Linked DNA regions of Macaca fascicularis. The protein of the gene in region 2 interacts with the protein of the main gene of each other region in a biochemical or structural test. Links are inferred from orthologs where the notes say so. Each region holds a gene or a part of one and is shown on either strand. Other genes may lie near its edges.

Evidence for each region.
Region 1: the proteins of HLTF (region 2) and UBE2V2 form a complex in vitro, tested with the Homo sapiens proteins (2 studies listed by BioGRID). The link is inferred for Macaca fascicularis from reciprocal best matches to the Homo sapiens genes HLTF and UBE2V2.

Annotation. Positions count from the first base shown.
Region 1 is NC_088382.1:57,952,568-57,955,493, reverse strand, and holds the end of UBE2V2 (ubiquitin-conjugating enzyme E2 variant 2), read right to left. Parts: intron 1,666-2,926; coding exon 1,519-1,665; 3' UTR 773-1,518; downstream 1-772. UniProt on the Homo sapiens protein: Has no ubiquitin ligase activity on its own. The UBE2V2/UBE2N heterodimer catalyzes the synthesis of non-canonical poly-ubiquitin chains that are linked through 'Lys-63'. This type of poly-ubiquitination does not lead to protein degradation by the proteasome.
Region 2 is NC_088376.1:51,844,771-51,849,015, forward strand, and holds the end of HLTF (helicase-like transcription factor), read right to left. Parts: intron 2,783-4,245; coding exon 2,630-2,782; 3' UTR 540-2,629; downstream 1-539. UniProt on the Homo sapiens protein: Has both helicase and E3 ubiquitin ligase activities. Possesses intrinsic ATP-dependent nucleosome-remodeling activity; This activity may be required for transcriptional activation or repression of specific target promoters.

The DNA.
Region 1 (2,926 bases), on a different chromosome or scaffold from region 2:
AGAATGGCCCGAACCCGGGAGGCGGAGCTTGCAGTGAGCTGAGATCCGGCCACTGCACTCCAGCCTGGGCAACAGAGCGAGACTCCATCTCAAAAAAAAAAAAAAAAAAAAAAAAATTATTAAGCTTGACAAAATAAAAGGAGACTTTACCTGACCACTTTTCTATATTCTTCAGTGAATTCATCAAACAGCATTTTCAACAAAGCTTTGTATCCAGTACTTTGAAGTGAAATAGTGACCTAACGCCTCATGTCACTTTGGTAAAAGCAGAACATAAATGAATTTTCAACTTCAGAGTTCATATTTGTCAGAGTAGAGAACAGTGGAATGAATAAAGTTATCCTTGTTAGTATTAAAAGCCCTAACTGGAAGATAAAAGTCTCCAATTAGTTCACCCTATTTATTAACCAAAAGCTTCACAGAAAAACAACTAAAAAAGATGTTATGATTTTAAAAATGGGATATGTATTTGGATAATTTGCAACCTATAATCCTAAAAGAATTGCTAGACTGCAAAGATATTTTTAATAATATTATTTCTGGTGAAATCAAACTCAAAATATAATACCTAGGACTCCTCCTTGTCCAAAGAAGAAATTAAACTAGGTAATTTCTTTTCTGAAATAGTCTGCACATTATAATTCACAAGAAGTACACAAAATAGGGTAAATAAAAGTGTGTATACAGGAAAAGCTACATAATTCCAATTTTTGCTTCCCTAGCATGGTACTGTACATATACTACATCAACATAATAGAAATGGCACAGTCTCTGAGGACACGTTCCACATTTTATTTACATTTTAAGACTAACTTTAATCTCCAAATCACATATCCATACACCTATTTCCGTTTTGTTGACTTCACTTAAACTTAAATGCATGGTTAAACAAAGACTGTAAACAAATATTTACCATGTCTGTTACATGTAACACACAAGAACAGCTTTTAACAGAAATTCATCAACTTCCCCCAACATTTTTTATTATAAATACAGGTATCAAAACAATCCTGAACATATTTTTGATACTACTAGTAGTCAGCACCCACACCGCTTCAAAAATTAACACATCTGTGACAATATTCGTTGTACCTGCTACTTTTTAAACAATTTCAACTGCAGCTCTCTTTCACTAAGCAAGATGGGTAAAGCATGCCATTTCTGTTTTCTTTCTTGAGATTTTCACTTTTTAGAAACACACATGCTTCCACTGCCATCTGACACTTCTCCACACGCTTTCATCTTGTAAACCTGAATTCTACTTTGAGTACTCCAGGTTTATGTTTAAATGACAGTGCCTTAACAAGAGAAAAAAAATTGTGCTGCATTTTTCCTCCTGTTACCTGAAAACATAATGGGTGTACATGTATTAAATATATTCTTACAAATGTCCAGGTCATGTTTACCAGCTGGAATTCTTTTACTTAATGTGTGGGTATTTTTCATTGTGATATTTAATCAAGACATTAACATGAGTAGAAGGTTGTTGATTTAAGACAAGTTTGAGATCCACTAAAATTAATTGTTGTATGTTTGTCCTTCTGGTGGCTGTGGAAGCTTCATATTTTCTTTGGACATCATTAGACGTCTTAGCTCTTGAAGTACAACTTTAATGCTATATGAATTTTGCCATTTTGCTAACACTGGTATGCTCCGGGCATCCACCTGAAAGGGGAGGAAAAAGTACAGTTAACTAGCAAGTTTAAAGTACTATGGCATCAATTTGTTAAGTGTATTTTAATAAGAATGATTTTGAAAATTCATAGCTTGCCTCTATTTTCACAAAACATACACTATGAAATTACTAATACCATAATTAGTATATTTTATCATAATTAGTGTAATATCTTGGGAAAATATAAAGATATAAAACATATAGTGAACTTTGGTCATCAGAAATAAATGTTATATTAAATAACTACTTTGTAAATAAATTTACCAATTCCTTCTTAATGGAGTAAGGTCAAAAAGTTCCTCTCCATTTCCAATGGCACTACCCAAAATCTGGGGAATTATCTCACACTGAGATTTAGACGAAAGCTACTAAGCTGATCTCTGCTTTCAGATTTTTCTTTCCAATGTATTCTATGCACTATTCCTAATTTTTTTTTTTTTTTTTTGAGAGAGAGTCTCACTCTGTCACCCAGGTTGGAGTACAGTGACATGATCCCAGTTCACTGCAACTTCCGCCTCCCAGGTTCAAGCAATTCTCCTGCCTCAGCCTCCCAAGTAGCTGGGATTACAGGCACCCGCCACCACGCCTGGCTAATTTTTCTATTTTTCATACAGACGGGGTTTCGCCATGTTGCCCAGACTGGTCTCGAACTCCTGAGCTCAAGTGATCCACCTGCCTCAGCCTCCCAAAGTGTTGGGATTACAGGCATGAGCCACCGCACCCAACCCAAATCAATCTTCTGTGAAAGAGCAACAGAATGGGGATGGAGCTCCTTGCAAGCCCATTCAGTTAACTGTCAGCATTTGACCTGTCCTGCAGTTCCCTGGAAAACTCCACTCACAGAGCTTTCCTTTATCTGACCTCAGAGCTCACCTATCTTCAGTCACCTCCTACGTTGGGCATTTGTCAAAAAAAGCTGAGTCAAACAGGAAGGTGGGCCAGATGTGGTGGCTCACACCTGTAATCCCAACATTTTGGGAGGCCAAGGCGGGTGGATCACAAGGGCAGGAGTTTGAGACCAGGGTGGCCAACATAGATAGTGAAACCCCGCCTCTACTAAAAATACAAAAATTAGCCGGGTGTGGTGGCACATGCCTGTACTCCCAGCTCCTTGGGAGGCTGAGGCAGGAGAATCACTTCAACCTGGGAGGTGGAGGCTTCAGTGAGCCAAGACTGCGCCATTGCACTCCAGCCTGGGCGACAGAGTGAGACTCTGTCTAAAAAAAAAAAAACACCGGAAGGTAACCAAAA
Region 2 (4,245 bases):
TATAAGCCAAACATCAAATGTGCCCTTATATTTTTAATGAAGCTCATCCAAATGCTAATGCATAAATCTTGGCAAGTACTATAAATAAAACAAGAAAAAAATACAGCAATGTATTTGCCATTCCCCAAAACAGCACACACTGCCGAAGATAATTTCATTAGTACTCACTGGTAACAAACTGCATGTGGTTAGTTTCTGTTTCCAATTCTAGAGCTGTAATTTTAAGGACAAAATATACAGTGATTCAGAGTGCTATCTGTGTGTATATAGGTATTATCACAACTCCTTTTTTTCTTCCAGATGAGGAAATTAATTGGGACCAATGTTTTTAGATCAAGCCATTTTAAATAAGCACTCTGATTTCTGAACAAGAATTTCAGCCAGTTAAATTGAGTAAAATAAAGGTAGGATATGAGTACATTATTCTGTTACAGTAATCTTCGTGTACTCTCAATAAAAACGTAACACTTGCATAGAAAGGTCACTATTAATGAAGGATTTATTTTATTTGAAAATAAAGTCAAAATTATGGCACCAAGGAGGGTAATAAACATTTGAAATTTTTATTGATTTTTAAATTTAAAATCCAGTTTTAACCACAAAATTGTTTGAATCACAACTGGTAATACAATGTCTTCAATATTTTTCTAAAGTTATTTTTCTATGTAATAATAAAACAGCATAGCATAATAGGAAGTTTACGTTCCAGTGGCTTTTTTATATATTTATCCTTCTTAGGAAGGACAAATTAAATTTTTTTAATTAAACTTTTTAAAATTTAACAACATCTAACAGAACTGTACAAAACAAGACATTTTTTAAACAAATTGCCAAACTTATGAGTGTGTTTTAAAAACAACTTTGTAAATATCTGGGCAAAGAAGTAAGCTGTCCTCCCTTTACCTTCACAGTGAGTTTGTAAGGCTTTGTCTTTGTAAGCAGGAAGAGTAGATTGTGTTGTTTTTTGCCAAAAACTGTTTATACTTAATCTCACTGAAGTATTGCTATATGGAGAACCCATACTCTGATCAACTTGATTTTTTTGTGTGTAATGCTTGATCTACCAGGTAACTTCCCTACTGCTCCTAATGCCAGTGGGCTAATCCCAAATTATTATTCCACTATCATCCCTGTAGAAAGGTCTTGGTTTTGATGAAAATCAGCCCGTTCCTTACCTGCTACCGCCTCAAAAAGGGACCAGGAAGATTCTAGCTGGCTAATTCACTGTTCCCTTTGAGCAAAAAAACAGGGCACAGGGAGAAAAGGACTTAGATGGTGAGAGATTTGGCATATACCTTCAATGTGCGCCCTATAACACAACATTGTCTCTGATCTCATCTTTCTATCAAATCACTTCCAACACTCCAAGTAAAGTCTCAGGTATTCTTACATCTGTATCATCAAACATGAAGCTTCTCTTGTTAGAGTAATTAATCTTTGGATTAAAGTTTCCCTTTGAAATAAAACCACCTACCTAATCTGACTGCTAAATTTCTAGCTTGTTTGTTTTAAATATGCTCAGGAGTCAACCCAGAATTCTGCAGCAAATAAGTTTGCTTATTAACAAAAAAGTAAAAAAAAAAAAAAAAAAGATAGTCTCTACGGATAGATGTAAGGATGAATTACTTAAGTTCAAAATTAAATTCTGATTCTAAACACAACAATTTTTTACATTCAGGATTAAGATGTCTTTAAGAGTTGAAACGACTTTGGAGATCATCCAGCCCAACTTCCATCCAGATATCACGCCTCTCACATATAGTAGTCTTCTGAATTATAAAAATTTATAAAGTTACTTCCAAAAAAAGCTACATAAATAAAAATTACCTATTTATAGAAATATCTATTTAGCAGTTCCATAATTTAAAATATTCAAATCAAATTGGGTAGGATTGGTTTGCCTCTCACTCCCACAGACTATATTTACACCCTAGACACAGCAAGTTACATTTAAACAATGAGTGTAGTACTACTTAACTAAAATGGAAAAAATAGTACTCTTAACATAATCCCTAATTTTTTCATGAACATAAAACTCCAAGTCACGTATGTGAATTATATCTCAATGTAGCTGTAGGAAAAATAAAAACCTGTGCTAACCTGGACTTTGGTCTCATTTAAGATTTGGTTCTGGAATGCAAATACGGTTTTTGAAAGCCCAATAAAATTAATTCTTGTATGGTCTGTATATATTGTTTGCAAGGACTACAAACACTGCATCACAAATTGGAGGCTTTGGTAAATAACTAAGTGTCCAACATAGAAAATAACTATTTGGTCAAAAGTATAAAAGGTCTGACCTTATTTGAAATACGAAAAAGCTGAGTACTTGGAAGATATATGAAAATACTCAGCATAGATGCTATGAAAAGCTAAATAACAAAGTAACCTTTTTTCTCAAAAAATTATTTTAGGCCACAGTATATAAGAGAACTTATTGCTATTTGAAGTTTCATTAAAAATAGGTTCGTATATAGAAGAAATTGTGTCAGTAATACCTCTTCACTAATATAAAACAATATGCCCCTTTTAGAAGACATGTTCTCTAGATCTCATTTCTAAAACTGTATTTTTCTCATTTCTAAAACTTAAGTATCCAATCAAACTGACCTTACTAAAATCCCACAAATTATAAATCAATTAATGTTCTGATTTCATTAATTTTGGCTTGTTTCATTTCGTCAGCATTTGGTTTTTTAGTTCCAAAGGCTCCTGCTGCAAGTTCTCTCTTTTTGTTTTGTATTTTCAGCATATTTTCTTCAACAGAGTCCTTTACAATGAACTTTAAAAAGAAAAAAAAATGTTAAATTGGTTAAGTAGTTTTTAAGGCATAAAAAAACTAAATGAACAATTTGCCTAATGGCAAAAACCGCAATTGCTTTTGCACCAAACTATAATAACTCTTTAATAGAACTGAGTTTTGCTTTCTTTACCCAATATGGTTTTCTTATATAAAGAATATGGCTGTACGAATAGAAGTTACAGATCATGAGATAAGCAAAGCAAAAAAGAAAGGATAAAAAAAGCAAACTATATAGGCAACTCTGGAAAAATGACTTCAGCATTATATTAAAAAGGCCACTCTGGCCGGGCGCAGTGGCTCACACCTGTAATCCCAGCACTTTGGGAGGTCAAGGTGGGTGGATCATGAGGTCAGGAGATCGAGACCATCCTGCCTAACACAGTGAAACCCCGTCTCTACTAAAAAACAGAAAAAATTAGCTGGGCGTGGAGGAGGGCGCCTGTAGTCCCAGCTACTTGGGAGGCTGAGGCAGGAGAATGGTGTGAACCCGGAAGGTGGAGCTTGCAGTGAGCTGAGATCACACCACTGTACTCCAGCCTGGGTGACAGAGCGAGACTCCATCTCAAAAAAAAAAAAAAAAAGCCACTTCCAGAAATTCAAGAATGAATCTTTAGTATAATTCATAACACTAACAAAGAGAAAAATAAAACATGATCATCTCATTCCTGATAAAAACTTGATTTTAAAATACTCTAACTACGAATGAATGTCTCAACCTTACATATTTAATGTGAAACAATAAAAGTATTCTCAACAAAACAGAAACAAGTGAAGAATGGTCACTATCTGCTACTATTTAACATTATTTAAGAAGTCCCAATTACTGCCGTAACTAAAGTTATATAATAAAATTTTACTGAAATACATAAAAGATCTACATAAATGGAGAAGAGATACTATGTTCCTGTATAGAAACATTCCTTATTTATAAAGAAAGATAGTTCTCAAAAGTAATAATAAATTCAATAAATCTCAAACAAGATATCTTAAATGGGATTTTATAACCAAAATCTAAAGTTCAATTCAAGAGTAATAATAATAACCACCAATACAATTTTCAAAAAGGGTAATCAGAATATTTTACCCTATCAGATATCAAAACTTACTTTAGGAAACCATAGTTGTGATAAGAGTAATACTGCCCTAAGAAAAGGAAAAGAGATCAACAGAATAGAATAGTCTAGAAAAAGACCCAAGTAATATATATAAATTAGTTTATGATAAAAGTGACATTTCACACTAGTAGGGAAAAAGTTGGAATTTTCAAATAAAAAAATGATATGATGTGACAGAACAAATTGTTCTTCATCTGATCAAAGAATAAGCTTAGACTCATGTCACAAATCATAAAACAAAAAATAAAACCTTCCAAAAGAACCATAAGTAAATACAGAATAGTTGAAAAAATGTGAAAATAAAGCCTTCTGTCCTAGGTAAGACCT